Alligator mississippiensis: one gene and its partners. The protein of the gene in region 4 purifies or fractionates together with the protein of the main gene of each other region. This does not show direct contact. Links are inferred from orthologs where the notes say so. Each region holds a gene or a part of one and is shown on either strand. Other genes may lie near its edges.

Region 1 (7,816 bases), on a different chromosome or scaffold from region 4:
CAAGCAGTTTAGTATTGATTCACTTTGAACAAAAGGCAAAATTATGAGAGCCTTAGCCTATTTGAATTGGTAGGCTTAAATTTAAAAAAACTGAAAGGAAGGCATATACAAATAGAACACACTCAAACTTGGATTCAGTTCAGAGCATACCTGTTGAGCAGAATTAGTCTAATGAGTACAGAACCTAGTGTTTAGATAATTCAGACTTAAAGGAATAAGACTGTATGCTCTTGAAGTTACAGAAGACCCCTCCCCGCATCAGGTGATATGAAAATTTGCAGAAATACCACAGGTTGAAACAGATTAGCAGGTACGTAATTCAGAGACGTGATTCATGCTGCAGTTCCAGTTGGAATAAATCGTGGAACAGAATTGGAAGAGATTAAATGCCAAACCTGACAGTACTTAAAATGATAATCTAATTGTGCATTCTCATAAGCAACTGCAAAAGTGCCTTAGTAGTTTGGAAACAATAAATGGATGAGTGATTTGGCTCTTTTTTTCTTTACAATAAAGCGTAAACATGAAAATAGGTATTTTCACAACTTTCAGGTATACTGATGACGTTGATATGAGAGAAATTTTGTTTTAGACATTCATTGTAGTTTGTTTCTAAGGATATATTTACATACCCTTCTTTTACACAGAATTCGGAAGAACTCATTGTCCCGGTTATAGCACTTTGCAGTAGGTTAAAGAATGACCAAAAGTAGACTAATTCAGCAGTCGGCACTGCATGTTATGATAATTTTAGCCAACTTACTTTCTTCTAATCTCTTTTGGAAGTAAAAGCAAAAGAAAGTCCCTATACATGTAAACTGTATTTCCTGTTGTAAACACTGGGATAATGTGGTCTGGCTACACTTCTGCTGTGCTTCATTAAGAGAGCAGTTTTAGTAGAAATGCTGCCTACAATTTAAAGACTATTTTTTGTATCCGCACTTCACTCCAGTTTTTCTGTGAGGTATAACTATTAGAGCAATTGTAGACAGTACTGAGATGTAGCATTTCCAGTGCCTATGTGCATTTTAAACGCAACAGTTCTCTGTTCCTTTAAAGCTTTTTCTTTATGTCTAATTGTGCTCATAGACTTAAACTACATTCATGTGCTTAGATAGGAGCCAGTTGCAATGCGTGAAGTAGGAGGGGTAAAAGGAACTCCAACCATCAGCTAGTTGCAATACAAGCTTAATCTATACTGAAAGCATATGTAGCATCTTTTTGACTAGGAAAAAAAGGGAGGAATAAAGGAAATAGGTTTAACTACAGCCCCATTATAGCTTCATCATGATGGACAGCATTAAGAAAATTTTGTAAGTTTTGAAAATGTTTTACTGTTCTTTCAGTTTGTTTTCTTCCTCTGTCTTAAATGACTCAGTGAGAAATCTTTCATATGTGTCTGACCACTGATCAAATGTGATCAGGGGTCAGCATTTTGCTATTGCCCTTTTAAACGAAAGTTTGAAAGCATTTAAGATTTTATACAAATCACTCAAAAGTTAGTCTCGTTCAGTTTTATATAGGGGTTCTCTATCTCAAAAGACATTGATGTATATTGAATCCAACAGCAGATCTGAGAAGAATAAAAGGTTTGGAGCTAAATGATGTTAGAAGTACAATGTGTGTACTCTCAGTAGGGTCATGCATGTAAATCTACATGGTACATGCATATGTGGAATGCTAATTCATAATTGCATGATTTTATGAAGGTGTTTTAAGACATCTGTGTTTACAGATCTGAATATTTAATCCAATATTTGGCAACATACCATTATATAAAGTAGCTTTAAAAATGCTAATTTCATCCACTTTTTTGAAACTTCAGGTTTTTTGGTGGCTTTTTTTTTAATGCAGAAACTGCTCTTTGCTTAGTCTTGACTTAAGTATGGTTAGAAAAACTGTATCGGAGCATTGATGCATTGTAAACCATGCCTTGCTGTGAAAAAGTGGAAACATTAACAGATTGTTGGTCTAACAGATTCCTGTTAGCATATTACTAGATGAAGTTTAATTTGAGACATCTAGGACAATTGCTAGGGCAGTGATGTGCAGGAAAGGATTTCAGATGCTATATTTTATCTAGGCAGACAAGGTTCTTTGGTTGAATCTGATATTTTACTAACTTTTTTTCAGATACAGAGAACTGGCTGTTAAATCATGTAACTTACTTCTGTTTCAGTAATTTGATTACCCAGTCATGTTATAACTGTATAGAAATGTCCCATTTTATTCCTAGTTTCTTCACCTTGTATTGTAAGATGTGGTTGATTCTATTAATTTAATACTTTAGCTTTTTACCTAGTTCAAAGCAGCATCGTACGTCTCCAAGTACATGTCGCAGTACACATGGAGTCAGATAGGTGACAGATGAGCACACCTGCTGTCAAATGCCAAGGTATAAGCTGGTGATTTCATGTTGCCTAGCTTTTCAGTTAACAGTGTCGTTCTTAATATGCACGTATTACTTACAGTAACGTTTTTTTTTCACCTGACTAAATCTCCCATCTTCAAACCATAATATATCATTCAACAAGTTTGTTTTTCTGTTGTGACAATGCCCAGTGCTTACTCAGAAAATTTAAAAACGGATTGTGGTACTTACCCCAAAAGAAGTTTTGCTGACATGGTGTCACTGAGCTGAACAGACTGTTTGATGCCATAGTCCCCCTCTCTTTTCACACAGAACTTGTACCTTCTGATGTAAGTGCTGCTTGGAGCCTTAAACTGCAAACACAAACCATAGCCAAACCTTCCTTTAGTTTTACAGAGTGCTTGGAGTGCATAGACTCCTATATTTGTTTTTTTCTGTCAAAAAATTGTGAAGCGCTGGTAACATGTGAAAAGCAAGGAAACAAAACAAAAAAAAAAAGAGAATGAGCAAATATTTGAAGGACCTACTATTACTGCATAGACTGTGGTTAGACAGCACTTACTGACTCTGTTGGTCTCAGTGGCTGGTAGTGACCTGCGGAGATTAACCATTTAAAAACCAGAGGCTTCTTGCTGTCCTCCTGGAGAAAGTTTGCACCGCACTTGTGGTTCTGTGGTTGTTTGTGAGGCGAATGAAGCATTCACACAATCCAAAAAAGCAAAAGCTTTAAAACTCCTTTTTTTGCAAGCACTGTTACTGGAGAGACAGAATCATGTGGTTTGTGACATCAGAGTACTCAAAGTAAAGTGGGACTGCCTACCACTGTGGCTTTTTCTTTCTTTCTATTTTTTTTTTTTTTATTTTGACAAAAGGCCCGTGGTAAGGCCCTTCCTGGCATCCAGAAGGATATAGCTTTTTAATTTTTGTGACTCATGAGGATTTGGAGGGAGTACAAAATGTGAAAGAGCCCAAACTCCTGTACAGTTAAAGCATATGGACAGCAGAACTTTATTTGTACTCTCACTTCAGGTTTTCCCCCCTCTTTTTTTTTTTTTCTTCCCCCCCCCCCCCGTCCTGTCTCTAGCTTATTATTGTGTCTGTGGCAAAGTGAGCAAAATTGGCGCAAGTGGCTGTGTGAAATTCTGAACAACAGTGATGATTTACAATAATTTACATCTTTGGATTGTATCACGATCTTGGGTCTGCTTCATATTTGCTGGGTGGCTGGATTCCTTCTGTTTTACTTTTTCTTCTTGTCTTCTTATACTTGTGAATCTGTAACTCATTGTAAGAAATTTTACCTTTCGTAAGGTCTAGTAGCAGCTTGTTGGGGCTGTTTTGTACTGTAATTGGCTGTCATAGAAGTGTTAGTCTCGGGATTCCTTTACAAATTTTAAATCATGTCTGTCTTGCTTACATGTATTCAAGACTAGCTGGCAGTTTTATATAATGACATTTAAGTGTAATTATATACCTTTTGTATATTGTACAGAGTGTCATTTGGATGCTGTAAATTATTTGGGTACTGCTTTATACATTGTGCTTTTAGAATAAAAACTGTTGTAGGGATTTAATATGGACGCTTAACATAATGAATTGTATGGATTGTGGGATTTTGATTGCACTTACATTAATTGTTTCTTATAATTTTAATGTTACAGAGGAACAGCATAGACTTTAGACTTTTTGGGACACTGTAAATAACTTTATTCAGCAGTTACTGTTAACATCTATTTTAAAGATGAAGCATAAATTTGATGCATATGTTGGATTTGAACACTTATATCAGGTTTGTGTGTGCATTCACAATATTATCACATATTTAACTTTGACTTTGTGTAGCATAAACTTTTTACTATACCAGTACAGAATGGGTTAACAGCAGCAGTATTTTTTTGTGTTTATAATAGAGGCTTTGAAATAAATTGCAAAATGCTGTGCATAGTAAGGAATAATATGCACAGACAGTGTGTATTAGTAGTCTTGATTTGCTCACTCAGATTCAGAACAAAATTGGAAACATCTTTGGGAAACTGTCTTATTTTTGCCCCTTTGGACATTTATATGTAGAACTCATTTTCTTGTTAGCATGATTGTATACCTTGGGCACTGCATTTTATAGTTTCATCAGAGTGTAGGATTTTTGGTATATGCGGGGAAGGGATAGAAGCATGGCAGTAAAAGAAAGTTGCTAAGGATTTTCAGCCTGTATTTGTATCACTTCTGATGTCTATATCCCTGGCAACTAACCTCCCTCTTGCTTCCCCATTCTTCCTACCCCTACTTCCCGAATAAGAAAATGACCAGAAGTGGTGTGAAACTAATAAATGGAAAAGTGGGTGGAGACCGGGTTTGCCTTTTGTTCCTTTTTTTTTCCCCTTTTGGTGGATGGAGGTGAGGAAATGGGAAAGGGGAATTTTCAATTAAAATCACAACTTGTGAAAGTTTTCTTTTTTGGAGGGCTGATATGTATCAGAAAAACATAAAATAATTTTGTTTATCAACGTCTCTGTCATAATGCCTATTACAATGTATACTGTGCTTGTATTTTGGAACATTTTCAGTTCTTAAAAGTTGCCACATTTCCAGAATTCTTCTTAAAATTAGGAGTTATACAGTGAACTGTCATGTAAAAAAGTAAAAACCATTATTTAACTTGTCCCTTTTGAAGATGCATTTCTTGTACCTCTAAATGTTATATTATGGTACGACCATCACTGGAAACAAAAAAGGTAAGGTGGTAAAAATGATTGACTTTACTGGCAATTGTATCATAAAAACAAAGTATATTTGTTTAGGTTAGAAGTTTAATTAACTTTTAATGTAATAAAAGCATTTAGAGGGCATTTCCCTATAATTTGTTGAATTTCAGTTCACAGAATTTGTACAAAGTGCAGACTTCTGCAAATTCAGTAACACATTGAAAATGTTTATCAGTTTGCATATTATGGTAATGAAAATTAATTTTCTTATAACTAAAATGTTGCCGGCAGACTAATTTTTTTTCATTCATTGAAAACCATCCTTTATAATTTTAAAACCGAAGAAGTTTATTACTAGTCAGTTCTTCAGTGTCTGAAAAGAAACTTGCCACAGAGGTGTTGTATCTTTCTTTTTTAACTTCTGTAAATTGAAATAATGTCTTTAATTCTTCAAGATAGCTGGGGCTTTTTGTTTGTTTGTCTGTTTCATTCTTTCACTGATATATTTGTAAGGTTATTTACCAATGTTCCCTTTTAATATGTTATCTGCGAGGTATAATTTTTTGAGTAGCACCATGGAGCTTTTTCAACTTAGATTTTAAGATTTAAATCACTAAAATAAATTTTCTATTTAGCATGGTAAAGTTTACCAAACAATATAAAAACTTGTTCCAGTGTCTGGTTGGAGTGTAGTTCTTAAACATGTTTTCTCTATTAATTTGGAATTTAAATATTTCTTGGCATTGGAAATGTTTCCTTTTTAGTGGGTATAGTGTGGTGGGGGGAGGAGGTTTCAAGCAAAATTGTGTTTCAACTCAATACCTGGCAACCCCTTTCTTCAAAAATAGTTTGCACTTTTAGTGCAATGAAGAAGAAATCTGAATTTTGAAAAGCTGTTGTGTAAACAAGTCTCTTGATTGCAGTCATACATTTGACAGTCTTTTGTTTAAATGGCAGAACTAAAAAAAAAAAAAAATCAAAGTTAACTTAAAAAAAATCCACAGGGGATACTTTAAGTCACTGATACAATTACACTTACAAAAGGAGTATCAAGTTAAAGAATTTGCTTTGTAAATTATGGACTAGTTCTTTGATGACAAATTAAATCTCATTTTGAAATTAAAATCAATTGTAATACAAACCTAATGCCATCGTATCCTTTATCTTTTTGGAAATTTGTTTTGAAAACCTTTAAAGATTTGCTTTATCTTATTTCCAAACATTTTGCTTTTTGTCGCTCATACTTTTTATACAGCAAATAAACAGTACGATTCACTGGGGAAAGTTTATTTGTACTTAAATTTGTTTTGATGCTATGGTTAGAGGGGTTTAAAAATTCTACTTACTCTGGTAGGATGATGGTCTTGCAACTAAGTGTAATTTATTCAACGAGTAGATGATAGTTTAATAGTTTTCCACACAAAGTGACATAGATAATACCCTTTATTACTACTTCAGATGCTTCAACTCGACAGATTTTATTCCTTAGATCCGTATCTATTGGTGCTACATTTTTCTGTATCTGAACCAACCCGTGTGCTTGGTTTCAGCATCTCACAATCAGAAGCCATTCTCACCCTCCATTATAGTTTTCTTAGTGGTGTTGGAATTTACTTTTTGGTAGTTCTTACTAAATTGATGTAGACTTATTCTGTCCTAATGTGTATAATTGTAGTATTTTCATATTTTGTGGATGGGCTGTGTAGACTGGGATTTTTCACTTCCAGCATCTTTATAGTTGCTTAATACAGCCTGAATGTTAATATAAAAGATTTTTCCTTCTCTTTAATGGAATGTGAAAGTACCTATTAATAAAATAACATCCAGTAAAAATACTCTTACAAGTTAGGTTTTTTTTCCTAATGCCACTTTTTAAAAATACTGACTCTTGTCAGAGGTTTTTTTGGGCATCTGCAGGATAAATGAGGGATATTCAAATGAATGACAAATGTATCCACTTTGATGCTCCTCTTTGCGTCTTATTCTCCCTTGACTTCCATGCACTAATTTAACAAGAAAGATATGAAGCTGCTTGATTGATTTAGAAATCACAGATTGTGGGGGAAAAAAGTAGCTTTTTCTTCCCAGGTTAAGCAAATATTTGGTTGTCTGCCCCCTTTTCATTGAACTCATACTGTTAAAGATCAGTTTAAATCTGAACAGAAAACCACTATGACAGATTAAGATGACAGTAAGCCTTTGTTAATCAGTGATACATTTATTTAGTAGTAAGTAACATAATTGTTTTATGTTGCCTTGGGTTATTAACTTTCTCATTTATCATTACTCAGAAAAAATGTTCACCAATTCAACTTCAGTGTTGAAGTATTCTGCCTGTGTTTGGGCCCGAAATAAGATTCTTCATCTAAAAAGTCAAATATCTCTCAATGGCTATTGCTTTTGCACATTTATAGCTCAGTTATTTTCCTGAATAGCAATGCTTTTTTACCCCCTGTTCTTTATGCATATATTTCTTCATCTGTACAGCAAGTGAGAAGATAATTCTACTTGGCTGTAGTCTTACAGTCAATATATAGGTTTAAAATCATTATAATCTTATTGCTATTTTCTCCTGTCTGTTTTCTTTAAAAAAAAAAAAAAAAGAAAAAAAGAAAAAAAAGTCAACTTGCAGAAAATATGGGAAACTTGTCTCATATAACAGCTGAGGATGTGGCTAGGTTAAAGCAGGAAACTGCTACCCACAATGCAATGTTACATACACTACCACTTAATAAAATTTATT
Region 2 (7,328 bases), on a different chromosome or scaffold from region 4:
AGAGAATGAGTCACAACTGAAAACTGTGGAGTAGAATTTTTCCATTTCCCTGATCTGCTTCACAACTCAATAGGACTTTTCTCTTTGGCCCTCTGCAGACTTTCCCTTAGATCAGTCAGGTGTTTGCTTATGCCAGCAGCTGCAGTCTCTGGGGCTTGCACCACATGGAGATCTGAAGATACTTCTTACTGGATGAGGTCCTCATATACATGGAATATTTACCATTTGAAACTTCTCAGCCTTAGGGCCTAGGCCACAATTCTGAGCCAAGTCAACTTGGCAGAAAAATGTTCCATAGTAGTTGAGAAAATAATCCTCTCTCCCTTTCCGCAGTAGTAAATGCAACCACTTCCTCTTTTGTTACACTCACTTTTTTCCTCCTTCCCCTCATTAGAATACTTGGTCTGTTTATTTGCAGGTAAAACCACTCTCTCAGACTTGCTCCTAAACCATGGGTACAAGGAAACAGTGTGGGGTTGCTGTAGTCACCTCTCGCAGACTTCTGACACATGCACTGTATAAACTGGTCCCTTGCTTTAGTGAATCTGCATGTTGGATGCTGTGCAGTGAATAAGGCAGCTTGACACGTTAGTGAGGATATAATAAAAAAGATGTAATGCATTATAGAAGAGCTGTATTGTGCTGCATGAGGCAGAATTAAGGTCACATGGCAGCTATAACTTTGGAGTTTACTGACTTGTAAATTCTTGCTTTTGCAACCCCAGATATTCCTTTTCTGTATGGATGATTGTTATGTAATAATATTCAAATATAATAGACATGTACAATAATAGTATGCTATAACCACAACGTAACATTATTTTATCTAACAGCAATATACTTTACAATACTTTTACGCAGTAATTAGGAAATGTCTAAGGTTCCCAATGCAACCTTTACCCTGCCCTCCACATGCTCATGAAAGGCCATTTATAATCTAATGCTGGGAATTTTGTTTGCATGAAAAGTTCACAAAGGGTGCCAGCCCTATGAAAATGTGAAGATACTAGAGAAAAGAAAAGAAGATACTCCTACTATGGGGATATTTAATGAGCATTTTTAAGGATACTACCATCAACTAGTGCACTATCTTGGGAAAAACTAACTTTTTGAATCACCAGAATGAAAGAAGATTACCAAAGCAGCCAGGCAGTGGCATGTCTTGGTCAAGCCTGTGGATGAGTGCTCAAATGAGTGAATCTTTTAAAAAATCCCTTCTAGTGATTCCCACGGGATCTGTCACCATACATAGAGAGCAAGGGAGAGAAGCGCACACATATACAAGATGTGGCTTTGCCTGGAAGACCTTGCTGTAATAGATTAAATGGCTGAGATTTTCAAAAAGGCTCAGTACTGGCCTAACCCTGCTCCCATTCTTCTTCTTTCGTATGACAAAAATGGTGTCTGTATCTTTATCTTTGTGCGCTTTGGCATTTTTGTCAATTGGGGAGCTCTTGGCTGTCAGAGATGTTACCAGGAATCACTATGTGGAAGTAACTCTTGTCAGCGCCCTCTATTCCCATTGAAGTCAGTGATAAAACTTCCAAAAACTGAGCCCTTTGGAAAATCCCATATAACAGTGTTTGTGTGACCATAAGGCTTAACCTTAAGGCTTTGAACTAAATCTTGCTCATTACACTACTAACTACAATGGGACTACTCTGTTTATGGGACTGTGATATACAGAATTCGGCTCATTTCCCCATGTCCTATGCAGAAGCTTCCCTAGGTAAAAATTACCAGAGTAATTAAGTAATTTTTTAATTCTGGCTCTACAAAGCAAAACTATAGAAACTAAGTTCTGTGAGGAGCTCTGAAGAACCAGAATTCCCTCTGATAAGGACTGCATAGCTGACATGTTGGGGGAAGGACATGAAGGGGAAGAATGATCCTGTGGTTAAGGCCTGGGACTGGGATTCAGGAGATCTAGTTTTAGCTCCAAGGTCTGCCACAGACTTCCTGGCATATGACCTCAGAAAAGCCACTTTAATATCTCTCTGCCTCAATCCTCCATCTGTTTAATAGGGTTAATACTACTTCCTTCCACCCTTTGTCTGTCTTGCTTATTCATACTGGGCATTGTTTAGTACACGTACAGAGCACACCTAGCCTCTAATGGCCAAATGCAGCTATGGAGTAATGTCATACAAACAAACAAACAAAATAAATATAATATAATTTGGGCCAACATTGTCAATTTTCAACTTAGCCCTAAGTGCATCCTCCTGAGACAGCCTGGGAGGATGACTGGAGATTCAGGGATGCATCTCTTTTCTCATCTCTCCAAATCTCAGAGCCCACTTGAATCACCAGGTGGTCTAGGAGAATAGTAATAGATGCTCGTCTGGCACAGCTTGGATTACTGCTGACATCTGGTATCCTTCAGTGGCTGTTCAGATATTGATTGATGGTCTGAACATGTCTTTACAGTGCCTTGAGCAATGGGGTCTGGGCCATAGCTCTTAGGAGCTAGCACAATACAAATAATAGTAATCAGTATAGTTTTCATGAACAAATGTCAGTATCCCATATGCACCTTAGTCAATACCCTATTCATAGACTGAATCACCCTTACGTTCCTATCAATGGCCTCTCTACGACAGAATCCAGTGACAGACACATGCATGTTGATGATCCAATATAGACCCAAATTGAAGTCATGTACTGCAATGTGTGCTGCTTTAATTGAAAATAACCTGTTATCATCTACACCTGCATTTATTCCAGTGAATTAAGATTCCCCCCTTACATTTGGATAAATTCAGCTTTATTGTCATACATACTAAAACATACTAAATCTTGTAGTTGAAATCTCGGTTGTAGCTTATATTTATCGATCCCTCCTTCCCCCCATAATGCAGCAATGGTGAAACACTCTACATGGGGCCTGGGTTTGTAATGGAGCAAAACCACAGCAATATGGTCAAAACTGAAGGCCTTCCCCAGTATGTAGCTGCCTGCAGAAGGCATGTCAGATCAGGGCCTTACTGTTTTAAAACCATTTAAAATTAAGCTGTGTACAAACCCCATTGCTCATACATAACTATAAATAAATCAGGGATAATTTAATTTGTCTGTTGAGGTAATTCTATCTAGAAACACATTAGAGGCAAACTTACTTTTCAGGCAACTGTCTCTATCCAGGAGATAGGAATACATTGCTTTGGTACTAAACCAAACACAACAAAACTGTAAATACAAATCCCTGCAATTACTAATGCAGATATGCTGCTAAGTATTTATATCTGCATTCAAATGAAGAGACTCATATTTAGTAATCTCTGGCTTTTATCAAACCAAGTAATTGGCATAGCCTTCCTTCAAGCTATTTGGGAGGTATTTCTGGTACAGTGTGTACTTGAAGGAGAAAGTGGAATGATATGCACATGTGTACATGCCTGGACATGTGCCTTCAGTCACCCACAGTGCTGAATGGAAGTTAAAAGGGACTTTCAATTTAGGTTTTCTAAAAATAGCTTTCCATATAAGAGCAACAGAAAATTTAGAACAAAAATTACAACAAACCTTCACCCCACTCTTCTCTGCTGTGTGGAAGCTATATGTTCAACTGTTTTGCTGTAAAGTAATTGAAAGCAATACCTGCTGAAATTATGTACTAGTGCCTGAGCACCCTGAGTACGTTTGACTGAAAGCAAACTATAAACAAAACTGAATGTACTGCACTGGTGCCTAGGGCTCTAGATCAGACATGCAGAAACAAGGGGAATAATAATAAAAAACAGTATTACTTTGCACATGTATAGCTTTTCATCTGAGAACCCTAAAGCCCCTTCCCAACCCTAATCAATACGGCCTCACAACTCCACTGTGAGGCAAGGATGTTTCATGAGCCCTGTGTATGAAGGAAGATGAAACTGAGGCAACAGCCCAGATCCTCAAGGTCACTCAGAGCAGGGGGCAGAGCTGAGAAAGAAAGGAAAGCAAACTGGCTGTTCAGGGCGCTTCATGTTTAGTCAATGAAGGTGTTCGTAGCACAGGCATGGCTTTTTCTGAAGCAGCTTTAACAAAGCAATGTCTCTTTAAGTCTCCAGAGCTCTCTGTATTATGCTCTAAAAGAGGCTGATATTATATACACTAGTCCTCTAGACGTCCTGACTTGGCGGGGGGTTGAAGCCAGGTTATTACCCCAGCATTTGCGGGGGACAGAGGCCGATCTGGCCGATAACACCGCTTTCTTTCCTGCAGTCGCTTGTAAACTTGTCCCTGGGCTGCCTGCAACCCGGCCCTTCCCTCCCTGTGGGCGGGGACCAGGCGGCTGCGGGGTTAGGTTGAGACTCCCTGCGTGTGTGTATAACTTTGTGTTGCCGCCGCTGGTTGTTAGGAGAAGGAATGTGGAAGTCAGCGGCGTGCGGGGCGGCGGGCTGCTCGGGCCGGCTGCCGCGGCGATCCCCGCCCTCCCCGCGCCACTCGCCGAGGCCCCGCGCGGCCGGCGGCCCCGTCCTGCCCGGCCTCTGAAGGGAAGGCGGCCGGCAGCCGGAGAGGCGGCGGGCCAGGGGCAGGAGCAGGAACCCGGCGGACGCTGGATCCGGACGCGGGCTGGGAGCGGAGGTCGCTGCTGGCGCCTCCCGGCGCGGAGCCTCGCGCTGCCGCGCTCTCCGCCGCTTTCCCCGGCGCTTTTTTCAATGACTTGAGCGACGCTGGGGGGTGGGGGGAGGAAAAGAAAAAACCTGTCAAGATGGCAGCAGTAGGAGCAAGGAGGTTATGAACGTAGTGTTGATGCTGGAGCCAGCCCCGTCCTCCTGGCAGCCCGGCGGCCCCCGGACCTGTTGGAAGACTGCACATTTTACTGCGTTTGGTTCGGATCAGTTGTTTTTTGGGTGATTTTTGGTGGTTGTTTTTTTTTTTTTTTTTTTTGCGCCGCCCCCCGCAAGAAGGAGGGGAGGAAGCCCAGGGTGGCGGCTTCTCACCTGTTCCGCTGGATGTGAATTGTTATTGGTATTATTTTTTGCTTGATTTTTTTTTTTGTCGGAGGGGAAGGGAGGGGGGCGGACATAGGAAAGCGACCTGCGAAGCTGTGAGCCCCGTCGGAGGCGGCCAGGACTTCGGTGTGAAGGAGGCACAAAAGTCTTCGGTGCCACTGGAAGGACGTGGCTCCTGCCGCCGGCGGGCAGAGCAGCGCGGGCAGCCGAGCGAGGAGGAAGCGCGGTGCCCACGCGGCGGGGCCGGCTCGGCGCTGGGGGCTGCGGGGAGGGGGCGCTGCCTCCCGCCGCCGGGAGCCGCACGGAGTGAAACATAAACACACACACCGCGCACACCAGCCACACGCAGGCGACACACACACCAGATACACACGCGCGCGCACAGCACAACACAACACAGGCGACGCATACGCATAGACACAATCGCACAACACACACCTAGACATACACACGCATAGAAACACGCACACGAGAAAGGGCACACAGCTACACACCGGACACACACGCGCAAGCACAGACAGACCCCCCCCGCCCCAGAGCCGGCTGCCGGCGGCGCCCGGTCCCAGCCCGCGGGGCGCCACATCTGGTGCATCTGGCGGCGCTCGCGTTTGGCGTGTGGCGGGCGGGCCGGGGTGGGCGGGGGGCGTGGTGCGGGTGTGGGTGTGGGTGCGGGCGGGTGCTGTGCTAGGCAGGATCTTCATGGCGAGCGGGGGCATGTGCGCCCGGCTGCCCCCGGCCTGCTAGGCAGCGAGAACAGTGGCAGAGCAGCGGCAGCCTCCCGCCGGAGCCGGAGCCGCGAGAAGATGGCAGAGGCGTCGCCGCCCGCGCCCCCGTCGCCGCTGGACGTGGAGCTGGACCCCGAGTTCGAGCCCCAGAGCCGGCCGCGCTCCTGCACTTGGCCGCTGCAGAGGCCCGAGCTGCAAGGCAGCCCGTCCAAGCCCGCGGGGGAGGCGGCCGCCGACGCCGCCTCCATGATCCCCGAGGAGGACGACGACGACGAGGACGGGGGCGGCTCGGCCATGGCCATCGGCGGCGCCGGGCCCAGCGGCGGGGACGCGGCGCTGGTGCCGGACGAGGCGGCGCGGCTGCTGGTCCCGGGGCCGGCCGGGGCCGGGCTGGGCGCGGGGCCGGGCGCGGGGGCCGCCGCCACCGCCTCTTCGGCCCCGCGCAAGTGTTCGTCGCGGCGCAACGCGTGGGGCAACCTGTCGTACGCCGACCTGATCACCCGCGCCATCGAGAGCGCCCCGGACAAGCGCCTCACGCTCTCGCAGATCTACGACTGGATGGTGCGCTGCGTGCCCTACTTCAAGGATAAGGGCGACAGCAACAGCTCGGCCGGCTGGAAGGTAGGAGCGGGGCACCCGACCCGCGAGGGGCTGGGCTGGGCTGGGCTGGGGGCTGCTGCTGCTGCTGCTGAGGGGCGCCCTCCCCGGCCCCTGCGAGACGAGCGGGGGGAGGGCGGCGGGGGCCACCTGCTCCCCTCAGCCGCTGGGGAGTTCCTCCAAACAGAGACTTTTCTCCCCCCCACCGCCTCCCTTGATAGTTGTCTGGCTTTTCCTACATGTTAGGGCAGCTGGGGGACCCTTCTGCTACAGAAACACATCGCCCTGCCCATCTCTCTCTCCCCCTTCGCTCTGGGCACTGGTCCGGGCAGCCGGGATCCGGTCCGGACCCAGAGGGAAGGGAGACAGGATCCGCTTTTCTTGCAGGTTGTTTACCTCCTGACTTTGAAAGCACATGGGGTCCAGGCAGTTTTGTTTTTATAACTGGAGCTCCTTTCTTTAAAAGAACACACACTCCCGTGCTAATATTAGACAGCCAAACTTCTTTCTTTCTTTGTCTACTTTCTCTTCATTCTTTCCTGTCTTCCATCCTTTCTTTCTCTCCTTTCCTTCTCATCCTTCTTTCTTTCTTTCTTTCTGAGCTCCCCCCCAAAACTGGTTGCCTTCAGTATTTATTGCGTTCTTCTGTGCATATGGCACATGCCCCGTCTTTTAAGCATTCCAGCTGCTCAGAAAGCAGTGTCACTGGCATGATGCAGGGTGGCTATTTAGCAAGGAGGAAAAGGCTGGCTCTCTTCAGTAGCAGCTCGGTGCCAGTATTGCAAGTCTTTACGGCTGAGCATCTGACCCAATGCCAGGAGGAGGATTTTTTGAAGAACTTTGATCCGATCGATGAGGAATGACATTTCCCATCACCTTTTTTCTGTTTTCTCACACTGGGGAGAGTTTGCATACTAGGCAGAGATAGATCACATGAAAATAGTCTAAGCTGGAGGATTCCCAAAACTCATTCTCATGTTTGAGACGTGATAAGGGTGGTATGTAAACGACTTCCCCCCTTCCAAATGGAACTTTACAGGAGAAGTGTTTGTGTTGCATTTGACAC
Region 3 (7,967 bases), on a different chromosome or scaffold from region 4:
CAGATTCACCTCCATATATCTAGACTATTTTTCTAGTGAAAATAGCTTACAAGAACAGAGTTCTCATGAGAGCAACTGAGTTAATGACCCTCAATGAATGGCATATCTACTCATAAAAAAAAGTATAGCAAAGGCAACGGCAATATCCACAATACCTGGCCACAGTAACAGATCTAGAGTGGCTAAACACAACTAGAGGAACAGATCTAAATCATGACTAGGTTAGAGACTCACATTAGAAACTAACTGAATCAGAGGAGCATAAGCTTCCCTGAGCCCAAACTCAATTACTAGGCATAACCTCAAAGCACTGAGCCTCAAGAGGATGCCATGTGCAGTGGTGGTGTTTTGTGATGCTACCCACTTGCTCTCCACTGGGAATCAAACTAAGAATATTCTATGTTCAAATTGTGCCTGCTGGCTAGGAAGGACTTTAAAAAAATTAAAGGAAAGTTTCTGTCTCTGTGCCTATGTTAGGAGCCACTGCTTAGAATCATAGAGAATTAGAGTTGGAACAGACATCAGGAGGCCATCTAGTCCAACCCCCTGCTCAAAGCAGGACCATCCCCAGCTAGATCATCCCAGCCACAGCTTTGTCTAGTCAAGTCTTAAAAACCTCCATGGATAGAGATTGCACCACCTCTCTGGGTAACCTGTTTCAGTGCTTCACCACCTTGCTAGTGAGAAATTTTTTCCTAATATCCAATGTAAACTTCCCTTGCTGCAACTTGAGACTGTTGCTCCTTGTTCTGTCATCAGCTACCATTGATAACAATCTAGCTCAGGGGTCAGCAATGTTTTTGGACAAAGTGCCAAAAATATTGGCATCCTCAGCTTGTAAGATGTTGGCATGCCAGAGGAAGATGGCAGGGGAGCCATGAGGGGCCTGATCCGCCGGCACAGCCCTGACTCCTTCCCTGCCATTTGTCCTGAGATGCACACACCAAGCAAAATGCACTCTGGCACCCGTGCTGGGGGTTGCTTACCCCCGATCTAGCTCCATCCTCTCTGAAACCTCCCTTCAGGGAATTGAAGACTGCTATTAAATCCCCCCTCCATCTTCTCTTCTTCAGACTAAATACAGGCAGTCCTAGACTTACAACATTTCAAGTTACAAGGTTTTGCACTTACAAGGTTTATAAATTGACACCCTGTTTCAACTTTCTGGCCTCAGTTTAGACTTTACAATGCTTGATCCAACATGATGCCACGCCAGTGAACAAGTTCGCTACGTTGCCCATCTCCCTGGAGAGCATCTGTCCAAACTTCCTTGGACACTTTCTTTAAAAAAGCAGACAAAACTCCACAAAAACCTGTAGAGAAGACTCCAGCCAAGAACCCTTCAAAAAGCCCAACCAAGAGCCCTTCAAAAAGTTGAGCAAAGTTGCCGCAAAGAAGTCCTTCCAAACCAGTATGATTGCTATTTACCATATAAATACATGAATGTAGCTATATTACTCATCTATAATTGAGTACAAAATTCTGGGTTATTTTTGGTGAAAATTGGGTATCCAGCCTTGGTTCAGAAACCAATCCCCCATTTATAACATTGTTGCCTATGGGAAAAATTGGTACAGACTTACAACATTTGGACTTAAGATGAGGGTTTCAGGAAGCAATTGCGTCATAAGTCCAGGGTCTGCCTGTAAGCCCAGTTCCGTCTGCCTCTCTTCCTAAATCATGCTCCCCGCCCTGCTAACCATTTTCCTTTGCCCTCCCGAATTTATCCACAACCTCTCTGTAGCGGAGGGCCCCAAACCGGCTGCAGACGTGGCTTCACCAGTGTCAACCAGAGGAGGACAATCACTTCCCTCCATCCACTGACCCCGCTCCTATTCATACAGCTTTCTTTTTTTTTTTTTAAGAAATTTTTTGTGTTCCAACCCAAATCAGCCAAATCCATGAGTCAGTCCAGAAACATAAGTGGCCCTAGAACCAGCAAACATCCTCCACCCCCAACCACGACCTTCAGATATTTCCATCGTTTTTTGGCAGGCATCCTGTGTGCAGGCCCAAACCAGGAGGCTTGGGGTTCAGAAGCCCCCAAGTTTCACCTACCCTCAGGCATAGGAGCAAGCTAGGGTGGAGCCTCCCATTTCCATAAAATGGGCATTAAGCCCCAGCACCTCGGTGGGTACTAAGCAGCGCTGGAAGAACAGTTATCCCCAGGAAGGCTTAAGGAAAACTGCCTTCGTGAACCAAGACATGTGGTGTTTTCCCTGCCTCGGCAATCAATGAGAACACCTACAGGATATAAAACACTGCGATCGTCCAGCAATGCCACTAGCCTTCTTCTTCACGGGGGTACACGGCTGCCGCCTAGGCAGCTCCTCGCCCACCTTCCCCGGGAGCTGGGCGAGCTCCTGCCCCAGCTCAGGTCCCCCCGGCCGGGAGCGCCGCCCCGTCAGCTGTCCGCCTGTCACAACAAAGGCGCTGCTGCCCGGAAAGGCAGAGCAGGGCCCAGCGGGGGCGCCGCTGCACAGCTCGCAGCCCGGCTCTCCCCTCCCCCGTCCCCGCAGGAACGGGCAGAGACGTGCAGTGCAGTGCGGGGCGGGGCGGAGCTCCCCCGCCACCGCCGCCTCACCCCGCGGCCCGGCCCGGCCCGGCCCGGCCTCCCGGGGCGAGTGCCCCACAAGCGGCGGCGGCGGCGGCGGGGTGGGGGGTACCTTGCAGGCGGAGTAGACGCCCAGCTTCTCCAGCTTCTTGGCGCGGGGCGCGGAGCGCAGCTGCGCCTTCTTGCCGGCGATGCGGGCCGAGCCGGCGCCCCCGCCGCCCCCGGGGCTCTCGGCGGCGGCAGCAGCCCGGGCCGCGCCGCCCGCGGGCAGTCCCCCGGCGGCGGGGGAGCCCTGCTGCGGGCCCGCGCCCGCCGCCGGCCCGGCCCCGCCAGCCTCGGCCATGCCGCCGCCTCGGGCGGGCGGGCGCGGCGCGCCCAGCGCTTGGACCCTCCCCTTCTTCCCAGCGCCGCCGCCGCCGGCTGCTCCCCGGGAGGGAGGAGGGAGGGGACTGGCCGCACCTCGGCGGCACCTCCCGAGCCGGGAGCAGGCGGCGGCCGGGGACAGGGCGCCCCGGTGCCAGGGGGAGGGACTGACGAGGCCTGTGTCCCGGCCCCTCGCCGCAGCCCAGCCCCGCGCGGCCCGGCCCGGCTCCCGCACCTGGTGCCGCCCGCCACCGCCACCCCCCCAAGTCCCCTCGTGCGTGACGGCGCCGCGCTCCCCCTCCGTCTGCGGGCAGCCCCGCGCCTCCTTCCTGAGGGGAGACTTCACACCCCTCGGGGGAAAGGCAGCAAAATGGCTTAGGAGGTGTGTGTGTGTGTGTGTGCGTGCGTGCCCCCCACACGGCCAACCAGTCTGTGTAATCCGGAGGAGAGGAGACGGGGGATTTCATAGCAGCCTTCGGTTCCCTGGCGGGGGTTACGGAGAGGCCGGAGTTGGCCTGTTCTCGGGGAGGGGGCAGAAGATGGAACAAGGAGCAATAATTTCAAGTTGCGGCAAGGGACGTTTAGGCAGGGTCTTGGCATAGGCAACTTCTGTGGGGGGACACGTGCAGCCCCTGAGCTTGGCCGCTGCTAGTTTCTGCGGGGGGCGGGGGTTGCTGCTCACCACCCTGCCACCAACGCTGCTGCCCACACATTGTGCCCCCCCAGTCTCGGGAGGCACCAATCATTCATGGGTTTTGGCAAACACTTTCTCAGAGGAGTGTGGGTGACTGGTGGCACCTTGGGGGGGCATGTGACCCACCAGCAACCAGTCAGTAACTGGGGCAGTCCCCCACAGCCAATCTCACTGACCGGGGGGGGCCCCATAGGTGCTCGCACGGACCGGGAAGCAGCGGCAACACTCCCAGAAGTGGCTGTGGCCCTTCATCCAGCACTCCTGTTCCCAGGCCAATACTCACAGCCCTCCTGCCTGCCCCCTCACCCCCATCGCCTAAGCAGGGAGCACAGCCTGTCAGGGGGTGCACCAGCGCTCTCCCCCATGCACCCCCTATACGTCACCAGTGCAGAGGAGGGTAGTAAGACACTGGAACAGGTGACCCCAGAGAGGTGGTGGAAGCTCCATCCTTAGAGGTTTTTAAGACCTGGGTACACAGAGCCTTGGCTGGGGCACATTTACATGTGCAATTAACTCCAGCACACATCCTGCCAGAGTTTATTGCTCCTGGGCCCAGGACAGCAGCATATTGAGCTGGGTGGGAGCAGCCCCAGTTGGCAGGGAGCTGTGGGGGTGGTCAGCTTGCCAGCCAGAAGCTGCTTCAGCCCAGCTCAACCTGCTCTCAAGGGACTGGCTGAGGCACAAGGGTGCTGCACGGTTAGTTTATTCCTGCCTAGTAGCACTGCACATGTAGACACTGAGACATTTACTGTGGAGCTAACTAGGCAGCTCCGCAGTAAAGTCTCGTGTAGACACACTCGGTGGTTTCTACTTCTGAATTAATATTACCACACCTGAGATAAGTGCTGAAGCTAGCGCTGAATACAGTTCTGCTGGGCTATGAAACAGAAGAGAGACATTACCAGGAATGGCTAAAAGAAAGCAAAATTGCAGAAGAAAGGATAGTTTGAATCGTGAAATATGACAATTATTGAAGAGGATAGCTTGTTATATTAACACCTGTGGAGTGGGTAGAATTCAGCAGGACTCAGGGAGATGATAATAAGCCATGAAGTCCCCTCCCTGCTGCCCAGGTAATTGGTTTTAAAGTTTGGGAGCAGCAGGAATCAAAGTGGGGGTCTAACTGCACTACTGCAACCCCCTGGATCTGCCCCTGTCAACAAGCATGGTAAATTCAGGACATTCAGAAATAAGGGTAACTTGAAAAGGAATTTGGGCATGGCAACATACAATTAAAGCACTTGAGCACCTTAACTTTACCATCTGACATTATCAAGCAACAGCTATATAATTACTATTAGCATAAGATTATAGTCCTGGGTTATAAAACTGCTCTTAAACACACATCAGTTTTGTTTTCCCCTCATGGCCTCACTCTAGGGCATAGTCAAGAATGCTTGAGGGCAGAGTCAAGGTTGCTTAGTTGCCCTAACTCTGCATTTTCATACTGGATAGCATTTGGATTTTTTTTTTTTTTCTGAATACTGATTTTTCAGAGGAAAGAGGATTTAAAATGCTGCTAAGGCAAGAAATACTAGTGAGTTTTAATCATGTGGCAAGTCTGAAGAGTATGTATTGAGATCATTCCTGACAACAAACAAGTGTGACTCCAGGTGCTACATTTTTAAAAGGACACATTTGAAAATTAATTGTAACTCAAAGTAATTAATACATGTTCTGAGAATTTAAAAGTAAATCTATTTTTGGCCCAAATAGCAAATGCTTTAATATTGGGGAGAATGGGCTGAATTCTTTGTACATAACTAAGTGATTGTCTCCCATTGTTAAGCGCAAAACAATCCTAAGAAGAATCACAGGATCATAGGAAATTAGGGCTGGAAGAGACATCATGAGGTCATAGTGGCCAGTTCCAAAGTCCCCAGGTCAGCAGTGGCTCTCAAAGCCTGGTGAGTCCCAGTAAACAGATGGGGAGGTAGGAGGCATTAAGCTTTGGGGGTCACAGCTGAATCATGAGACTTCAGGGACTGGGATCCTTGGACTGAAAAGAAACCTGGAATCTGTGAGAGTCCTAGTTCAAGCCAGGGGTCTCAGAAATGCCAGTCTCCCTGCTGCAGAGCCAGCAGCCAAAGCCAGCACCCAGCATTGTCCTTGTTCCTACCACTATTAACAAAGAAAGCCCAGTCTTCCTGAGAGAGCTGCCCCATAGCTGTGGGCCTCCTGGGTGAGCTGGCAGGAAAGCAAAGTTCCTGTGTTTTGTCAGAAGTTTATTGAAACATTCACTTTCATATAAACATTTCAGCTTTTCCAATCAGCACTTTTCAACACACATCTGTGTCACTGAAAAATTCCTGGCCAGTGTTAGCAGTTGGAGTTGATACAGTATTTTCAGGCAAAAATGTTACATTCAAGCTGACAGTGACCCTTTAAGATGGCTGCTAACGTCCCATATTTTTTAAGATAGGCTGTTAAGGTGGACTGGTCATTCAAACCCAAGCCTCGCAGAACTTTAAAAGAGAGCAATGGTGAGAGGTATAGTGCCAACAGAGATAGTCTGCACAAACTTTAAGGGCATTTTAAATTTAAAAAATGACTCCCTTTGAACACAACTTAAATCAGAGGAATTTTTATTTCTTTAAATAAGAACATGCAATAATTGATGAAGAGTAAAGTTTTTAAAACAATGATTACCTTACCTACTCTGTCTACTCTACATGTGAGATTGTGAATAAAAAAATGCAATGGCATGGTTATTGTTTTTGCTATTTACTTTTATTTTCCTTTCAATCAGTTAAAATATATTAATCTATTTCACTTTCATTTTCCCTGCCTGTGGAAGTAGTCTTGCTGACTTCAATAGGCCCTGTGATGCACAAAAGTTAAGCCCATGTGCAAATACTTGTAGGATCAAGGCCTAAGCACATACCTTCTTCTGGAGCTTTTTCTAAGTCCTATTTGTCTAGAGGAGTTTTATTTCTATTAAAAATAAAACCAAGTATGTAAAGCATGAGGCAGACACTGCCTTTTATTAAAATACCCATACCCTTTAAGCATTGTTTATATTTTATATGCGGCCTTGTTCATGTTAATTTTGTTAAGGGGAAATGAGTTCTGTTTTGAAATCTAAGTACATATATTAAGACAATAGTTATTACAAATTGAAAGAGCACTTTTACTGCACTTCCTTCTTATATCCTCAAGAGCATGATTGTCTTTCAGCACCCATATCTTTTTACCGTATTGCTTAATAGATAATGAGAACAATAAATCACCACCAGTGGCTAGGGATACCGTTTCTATAGTAACTTTTGTAAACACCAGTTTCATTATATATGCAGAACTAAAGCTTAGTATTACTGAGGAATAGCTCCAGAAGCTGTGCTAGGTAAGCTGTAATTTTTTTTCATTATAGAACAGAACAAGTGTAGTAGTATAGCCATTATCTTCATTCAAATCTTGCCTTAAATACTCCATAAATCAAAGCTGAAAGCTAATTTGTATTGGTGATGGCCAACATGTGCTGACCTGAGTCTGCCTACTATTTTGGTCTACATAACATATAAGGATTTACTAATTCCTTGGAAATGTTGGGTTGGCTCCTGAATTTTTGTTACATGTGGTAGCTGCACTGAAATCAATGTTGTTGTGATAAGTGATACCCCCATGATTCTGTATATGCGTTATAAGAGCCCCTGTTGAAATGGTATCAGTGCCATCCATATAAAGTATGCTTAAATATATAACTTAAAGAATGGGGGTAGTTGCAATGCATAAGCTTGATGTGGGGGTTATAATTCTAACTAGTTCTTGTTCTTACTCATTGTTGTCAGTAATGAAGTCTCTGTGGGCCTAATCAGACATCAAGCAATATCTTTAACCCCATGCTGTCTTCAATTTCTGTGGCTAGTTATCACAGTTGGCAGAATTATAACTAACTGATTCTGAAACTGAAATTTAGCAAGTAAGCACTTCTGGTGATGACACAGGAACTGAAAGAATTCACCTAACTGCCTCTTCGTTCTAATCCTACAGACACAAACATAATGTTTGATTGATCACAGGAAGGCTACTCATATGCAATAAGTTAAGCATGGTCAGTTTTAACTCAATAGGACTACAATGCAATATAAACATTGTTTTCATTACTAAGGTAAACAGGTAGGACTTTGACTAGAGAGAGAATCAGATCTGAAGAAGAGGAATGTCTTTGCACAGGCACTTGTTAGAACAGAATCATACTTTCTGAGGTGTTTGATCTGCCTGTGAACTCAGGGGGACTAGAGGAGTTTGAGATATTTGTATTTATTGTCATTCTTGATAAGTGTGCTTTTTGTCCAAACATGGCTTGGTTTTTTAAATAAAAATTGATGAAGTGTTATTGTGATACTCATGGGCTAT
Region 4 (7,450 bases):
GGCTTGGTGGCACCAAACTGACTAGCGCCATGAATGAAAGGAACTGGGGGGTGATAATAGACCACAGTATGAATATGAGCCGGCACTGCAATGTCATAGCCAGTAAGGCAAATAATACTCTGGCATGCATCAGTCAATGCATCTCCAGCAAAGCCAAGGAGGTGATTCTTCTACTCTACTCAGCACTGGTGAGACTGCAGCTGCAGCACTGCGCCCAGTCCTGGCCACCACACTTTAACAAGGACATGGACAAGCTTGAGAAAGTCTAAAGAAGAGCCACTAATATGATCAGAGTCTTAAAAGGCAAGCCATACGAGGAAAGGCTGGGGGATCTGGGACTCTTCAGCCTGAGGGAAAGAAGGCTGAGAGAGTACCTGGTAGCAGCTTACCACTACACTAGGGGAGCACATCAAGGGCTCAGTGAGCAACTGTTCACCAGGGCACCCGAGGGGAAAACCTGGAGGAATGGCCACAAACTCCTGGAAGATCGATTCAGGCTCAACATTAGGAAAAACTTCTTCACAGTTAGTGTCCAGACTGGAATAAGCTCCCTCCAGAGGTTGGTGCAATCACCTACCCTGGACGTCTTCAAGGGGAGACTGTACGGTCCCCTTGCTGGGGTCACCTGACTGCAGTTATCTTTCCTGCTTGGTGCATGGGGCTGGACCCGATGATCTTCCGAGGTCCCTTCTGGCCTTACAATCTATGAAGCTACCCAAAGTACCTTGTTTACGTATATAGCTATACTTCAGAAATTAGACTTACTAATTCAATAGTTGGGTACAGAAGTGGGGGTGGGGTATGAGATGTTTAACACTCCCTGATTGTGTCACAACCCCAAGTACACATTAGAGCAGTGTAAAGGCAATGTCTATGGCTCTGCAAAGGACCACTGCCAGTTAGGGATAGTCAGGGTACTTCAGCCTGCCAGTTCTGACATACCCCTATGGAGAGAGCTGGCTCTACGCTTGCTTTGGACTCTCCCGCTCCCTTTTTTACCATGAGCAATACAAAGAGAATAGTGTGGAGCAGAGAGTCTGTCCTTTGGTCTTGCAAGCAATTAAAAGCATGCCCAGCACTAGTGTATCTCTGTGTATGTTCACAGGCTCTTTAGAAGGAATTTGTTTTCACCTTGTGTTAACGATTAATTCTGTATTGTCTCAACTGAAAGCCCAGTTTTCTTGTTTTAGAAGGTAAAGTTTAAACTTATTAATTTAATGAACGTGCCGCGTAAACTAGTTTTTTACTAGATCTGGCAATATATTCATGTAATTAAAAGTATGAGTAATGCACATTATCCATAAAAGTATTTTTGGTTTCTTAAGTGGGCTCCATAACTGTACATATCAGTAGGAACAAAATCTCAGTGGATGAGATTGAGTCCCAGATGGTCCCAGACTCAACATGCAGAGGTCACATGCGTAAGGATGGTCACATAGGTAAGGATACTAAAGATGAGGTGTATTTTAAAAGATGAAGGCAGTAGTTATATTGCTATAAAAATTTATGCTTATTGCTTATTTAGCCTGAAGGTAGCCACGAAGACATCAGACTTTTTATAAACCAGAAAAGGGATCCAGACCATGAAAAATTAGGATGGTTCCATCCTTTTCCTGTCTGTTAATATTTCCATTGTGTGAGTATCCAAAACTCTCCGAAATAAAGACAGACTGTCTGGGGGTTCAGAAAGGCATGTTTTCACAGGACAGCTCCTTTGACAGGTAAACCAAGCACTCCCAGAGGTGGTTCTATAAAACTTAATGTCCCTAATCTTAAAAATGAATGCTGCATCTTGTTACCAAATTTGTTCCCCTTTTGAGCTGTACTGATCTCCATGCTGATGTAATCTGGGATGTGGCTCGCTGAGTTCAACGCACCTACTAGGGTAAATTGGACAGAATTAAATCCAGGGTGTCTCGGCACAAGAGAAGAAGTTAAATGTGAGCTAGAATTGCTGGACTTCATTTGCTGCTTTGCCACTGACTGTTAATTTGGGAAAAGCACCTAACAGCCCCATGTTTAAATTGACCCATTTGTTCCTGTGAAATAATAATCATAATATCTCTACCTCATGTAAACGCAGCGAAGCTTGGCCCGTGAGCGTTGGTTGAACATTTTGAGAGCCTTGTTTGAAACGTACTAGATATCTAAGTCCAAAGTACAAACTATCAGTTCAGGGTTGAGACTTCAGTGTTACTTTTCACTTCTCTTTCTGAGTTGCTGCCCCATTCCAGCACAGAGTAGAAACAGCCTCTGCAGAATCTACCTTTTGGTTTAAAATCCTGAGATTTAAAAAAAATAATAATAACCCACCAGGCTTCTTTATTTGTATCTTCTGGGTTTTGAGCATTTAGGTTACATTTGGATCGGTATTAAAGTTCCTCTCCAAACTTGTTAAGGAAAGAAACGTTTTAAACGAAAGCTGAGATTCTCGCCTAAATCATTTGATTTCACGTGCTTTGGCTTTTAAGAAAAAATGCCGAACATTGCAAGCATTAGCAGTAGTGACGGTTCTCTCTCATTTGGGGTGAACAGTTGCGGTGACCTAACTGTAGGCTGAACAGCCAGAGGAAATAAATGTTTGCCTGATTTTCAGAGGCATTGAACAACCACTGCTAGAAATGTCATCAGTGCGATCTGCAGATACGTAGCCTCTCTCTTCTCAAAGCATCTCTATGTGGGCAGTCAAAAAATGGGTCTCTCAAAATTAGGGCTGCTTTCTAGGGCCTGGAAACCCTGGCTGAGTGGAGAATTGCAGACCCTGGAATCTGGGGCTCTCAGTAGCCCACCTAGGACTTGTGGAGCAGCCAGGAAAACATACACAGCTCTTGTTTGGGGTTTTTTAGGGTTAAGATACGCTCTTATCTGGAGAGCTTTCTCTCTGCAGGTCCAGGCCCCGGCAGTTTCCAAGTCTCCACCAGGGAAGGATGAATCCTGCCTTATTTGCACATCAGAAAGCAACTCCCAAAGACACCCTCGTGCACCCAGAGGAACAGATGTCCACTTTCAGCTTCCTCTGTGCAAAAAATGAAGTTTATTTTCTACCTACGGGGACTTTTTACCCTCTTTAATTCTCCCTGAGCTTGAGGAAGGGTGTATGCCCAAACACTTGCAGAAAAAGATCATTGTTTTTGCGATGTCTTAGTTGGTCTGATAAAAGGTGGTGTCCTCTCTGAATTAGTGCTCAGAGGAACATCCCACCGCTTTACTCCTCTGTGAAATATGAAACACCATCACCAGAAGGAAACATGAATACATCCTGCTCACCAACAAACAACTTCGAGGGAAACAGATCTTTCCAACTTCTCTCTGAGCCTAACCTGCAAATGAAATGAACTTTTCCAGACAGATTTTAACCACTTTCAACACTCCTATACAATGTAAACTGTCATTTCTCCCCAGGAGAACGTTTACAAGCTCATCTCTGATGCCCGATGAAGGGTGCGTGCACCCGAAAGCTTGCAACGAAAGAAATTTTTCTGCAAATGTCTAGTTGGCTTCATAAAAGACACCGCCTCGACCATGAGCCCTGATCTCTGAGCTAAAGGGTCTCGAGTGTGGCACCCCCCGAGTCTCTCTTGTACGCGGCTCGTTTTGCAGCAAGATTTCAGGGCCCGCTTCTTGCTTTTAAAGCTGTTTTCGGCTCAAATCTCCCTGGCGTGGAGGACAGAACCAGTCCCCCCAGGGTGTGTGTGTGTGTGAGGGAAAGGGAAATGGACGTTTGCTCTGGGACTTGGGGAGTGTGCGGAGAGGAGAAGAGGTGCCCACGTCAGTGTGCATGTGTGTGTGAGGGGAGAGGAGAGGGCTGCGCCTGGAGGGGAGGAGAGGTGCCCGTGTGTGTGTGTGTGTGTGTGTGAGGGAAGGGGAAATGGATGTTTGCTCCTGGCCTGGAGCAGTGTGCGGAGAGGAGAAGAGGTGCCCATTTCTCTGTGCGTTTATGTGAGGGGAGGAGAGGTGCCCGTGTGTGTGTGTGTGTGTGTGTGTGTGTGTGTGTGTGTGTGTGTGTGAAGGGGAAATGGATGTATGTGAGGGGAGGAGAGGTGCCCGTGTGTGTGTGTGTATGTGTGTGTGTGTGTGTGAAGGGGAAATGGATGTATGTGAGGGGAGCAGAGGTGCCCGTGTGTGTGTGTGTGTGAAGGGGAAATGGATGTATGTGAGGGGAGGAGAGGTGCCCGTGTGTGTGTGTGTGTGTGAGGGAAGGGGAAATGGATGTTTGCTCCTGGCGCGGGGCAGGGTGCGGAGGGGTGTGTGTGTGTGCGTGTGGAGGGCAGCCCCGTGTGCGCGGGCGGAGGCTGAGGGGCTGCCCCGGCGCGGGGAGGCGGAGGCGGCGGCGGTTGGTGGCGGCCCCTCTCCTCCCCTCCCCTCCCCTGCCCTGCCCTGCCCGCCTCCTTCCCGGGCGGGGCGGCCGCGGGCCATTTGCAGGAGCGGCGGCGGCGGCGGGCGGGCGAGCTGAGGCGAAGTTGTCGGCGGCGGCGGTGGTGGCGGCGGCGGCGGCGGGGCCGGCAGCATGTCGTCCATCCTGCCCTTCACCCCCCCCATCGTGAAGCGGCTGCTGGGCTGGAAGAAGGGCGAGCAGAACGGGCAGGAGGAGAAGTGGTGCGAGAAGGCGGTGAAGAGCCTGGTGAAGAAGCTGAAGAAGACGGGGCAGCTGGACGAGCTGGAGAAGGCCATCACCACGCAGAGCATCAACACCAAGTGCATCACCATCCCCAGGTACGGCCCGGCCCGGCCCGGCCCGGCGGGGTGCGGTGCGGGGCGCACTTAGTGCGGGATCCCGCTTTGTTCCCCTCCCCCCAGCCGGCATCGCCCTGCCCCGGCACCGCGGCTGCACGGCCCCGCACGGCCCGGCCCCGCACGGCCCGGCCCGCTTACGTTCGGCTGCACAACTTTTGCGCCCTGTGGGGCTGCGTTACTTTGCACACTCACCTGGCTCCATTACATCTGGCTGTGTATACTTGCACACTGTGGCGTTACGTTACTTTCGCACACTACATGGCTATAGTACATGAGGTGATATTACTTGTGCACGCTAATGTGGCTATATGACATTTGGCTATATTTGCACACTGTGGCTGTATTACTTTGCACGCTAATGTGGCTACATCGCATGAGGTTGTATTTTGCACACTAATGTGGCTATATTACATGCGGTTATATCACTTTTGCACGCTAATGTGGCTATATGACATTAGATTATATCACTTTTGCACGCTAATGTGGCTATATTACATGAGGTTATATCACTTTTACACACTACATGGCCATATTACATGAGGTTATATTTTGCACACTGAGGTTATATCACTTTTGCACACTAATGTGACTTACATGAGGTTATATCACTTTGCACACTACATGGCTATATATTACATTAGGTCATATTACTTTTGCACACTAACGTGGCTATGTTACATTAGCTTATATTTTGCACACTAACGTGGCTATATTACATGCAGTTATATCACTTTTGCACGCTAATGTGACTATATGACATGAGGTTATATTTTGCACACTAATGTGGCTATATTACATGAGGTTATATCTTTTTGCACGCTACATGGCTATATTACATGAGGTTATATAACTTTTACGCACTACATGGCTATGTTACATGAGGTTATATTTTGCACACTAACGTGGCTATATTACATGAGGTTATATCACTTGCACACTAATGTGACTATTACATTAGGTTATATTTTGCACACTAATGTGGCTATATTACATTGGGTTATATCTTTTTGCACACTACATGGCTATATTACATGAGGTTATATTACTTGGCACATTTACATGGTTATAGGCTCATTATTTTGTTCCAAAAAAGGACGCCGTTCATGCAGCTGAGTGGGATTAGTAGGTAGGTGAGGGATCGCACGGATCAAATAACTGACTTCATGCAGATTATTTATGCAATCTTGTAGGGTTTTTTTGGCACGGTTGTGCCCACAAGGTCCGTTATAACGTGTGGGAGAGCACAAGCATTTCTCAGAATTTGAGAAGTGGCCATAAGGAGGAACATTTTATAACTGAAGTTTCTGGGGTTTTTTTATTTCTCTAAGCTCACTTACATGACTGTCATTCTTAGTACTGTTGATTATTTTGAGGAATAATACAACACTGCTTTTTTTTTTTTTTTTTACCCAAAGGCTAAAGTTCATGCAAAATATTTTAATGCTGTATAATTATATGCTTCTGTGTGTATATATGCATGCTTTTTTTGTCTGTCATACACAAATGTGTGCTGTCGTGGTTGTCAGAATGATTTAATATGCAGTGGCTAGTACACACAAAGCAGCATCTGTTGCATGAACCAGTGAAACAAATAGCTTTAAAATGTTGGGAAAGTTTGAAACTCTTGATTTTTTTTTTTCATTTATTTATTTTTTTTTTAAAAGGCTGCTTCATCAACCATGAATTTTAATGATCATTTAATAGCTTCTCATGACTCTTTTTTTCCAGTGAACAATAAATACTAAATTAGATTTTGGTCACTAAATCTAGATTGATCTCATTGGAGTTACTCTGGATTTTCAGGGTTGAATCTGAGATTAGTATCTGCACAACTCGTGCCTGACATGCCTACCCTCTAGCCTGTATCTGAAACTCTTGATAAGCAGTGAAATCCACTCTATTCAAAGCTCTTTGTGGAAGTTTTTTTTTACTGTATTGCAAATTTGGGCGGGGGGGGAAGGGATTTTGAAAAGTCCAACCACTGATGTGACTTGTGTTTTTGTATTTTGGATTTCAAAGACTCACTGCTGCTCTCCTGTGAAGAGTCAGAGAATGAAATGACCTAAAATGTGCTTCGGTAGGAACACGGGTGTTTTGAGAGGGGTAGAAAGCTGTTTTCAATAAGTTGTAATTCATAGGAAGCATTTGGTGTGTGAGAGAATGCATTTAAAAAAAAAAGCAAGTAACATCAAAAAAGCAAATGTCACAAACTCTGAACACTGCCAGGACACTCTAGCTAATGTTTACCGTGTAAAGTGAATGGCTGTTTCTTTATTTTTTTTTTTCTGTCCTGGAAATCTGTCTGCTAGACAGAGTCCCCCAGCAATTAAAATCTTTCATTTGTTCATGACATGGACCCCAACCTCAGTCCTTAATCCTTGATATCAACTGGAATTTTGCCTGATTACACCTGACACCATGGGTCCCTTCTAGCAGTAGTTATTTGTCACCTGACACTAGCTTCAAGTATTGAAAATAGTATGCACTTTTACTGTTATTTAATCCTTCTATTGCAATCAAACCTAATGCCCATACCCAGGCTAGTCTGGTGTAGGTTAGCTGCAAACATGGTAAAAGACAGTCCCTGCCCTGTAAAGATGAGTCTTATAGATGAAGTGATTTGCTCAAGGTTATACAGCAGGTTAGTGTCAGAGCCATAACTGTAAGCCAAGGTCTCCCAATCCCTCGTGGGGTTGGTGTCTTACCCCCTCAACCA

What was found.
Region 1: the proteins of SMAD3 (region 4) and RUNX2 purify together in Homo sapiens (affinity purification with western blotting; 3 studies listed by BioGRID). This does not show direct contact. The link is inferred for Alligator mississippiensis from reciprocal best matches to the Homo sapiens genes SMAD3 and RUNX2.
Region 2: the proteins of SMAD3 (region 4) and FOXO3 purify together in Homo sapiens (affinity purification with western blotting; 3 studies listed by BioGRID and IntAct, with this or other methods). This does not show direct contact. The link is inferred for Alligator mississippiensis from reciprocal best matches to the Homo sapiens genes SMAD3 and FOXO3.
Region 3: the proteins of SMAD3 (region 4) and KAT2B purify together in Homo sapiens (affinity purification with western blotting, with the first as the bait; 3 studies listed by BioGRID). This does not show direct contact. The link is inferred for Alligator mississippiensis from reciprocal best matches to the Homo sapiens genes SMAD3 and KAT2B.

What each region holds. Positions count from the first base shown.
Region 1 is NC_081824.1:12,513,425-12,521,240, reverse strand, and holds the start of RUNX2 (runt-related transcription factor 2), read right to left. Parts: upstream 3,013-7,816; 5' UTR 2,934-3,012; intron 2,725-2,933; 5' UTR 2,661-2,724; coding exon 2,603-2,660; intron 1-2,602. UniProt on the Homo sapiens protein: Transcription factor involved in osteoblastic differentiation and skeletal morphogenesis. Essential for the maturation of osteoblasts and both intramembranous and endochondral ossification.
Region 2 is NC_081824.1:94,245,390-94,252,717, forward strand, and holds the start of FOXO3 (forkhead box protein O3), read left to right. Parts: upstream 1-4,314; 5' UTR 4,315-5,743; coding exon 5,744-6,286; intron 6,287-7,328. UniProt on the Homo sapiens protein: Transcriptional activator that recognizes and binds to the DNA sequence 5'-[AG]TAAA[TC]A-3' and regulates different processes, such as apoptosis and autophagy.
Region 3 is NC_081828.1:150,497,920-150,505,886, forward strand, and holds the start of KAT2B (histone acetyltransferase KAT2B), read right to left. Parts: upstream 3,001-7,967; 5' UTR 2,898-3,000; coding exon 2,667-2,897; intron 1-2,666. UniProt on the Homo sapiens protein: Functions as a histone acetyltransferase (HAT) to promote transcriptional activation. Has significant histone acetyltransferase activity with core histones (H3 and H4), and also with nucleosome core particles.
Region 4 is NC_081834.1:4,232,717-4,240,166, reverse strand, and holds the start of SMAD3 (mothers against decapentaplegic homolog 3), read left to right. Parts: upstream 1-4,440; 5' UTR 4,441-4,507; coding exon 4,508-4,713; intron 4,714-7,450. UniProt on the Homo sapiens protein: Receptor-regulated SMAD (R-SMAD) that is an intracellular signal transducer and transcriptional modulator activated by TGF-beta (transforming growth factor) and activin type 1 receptor kinases.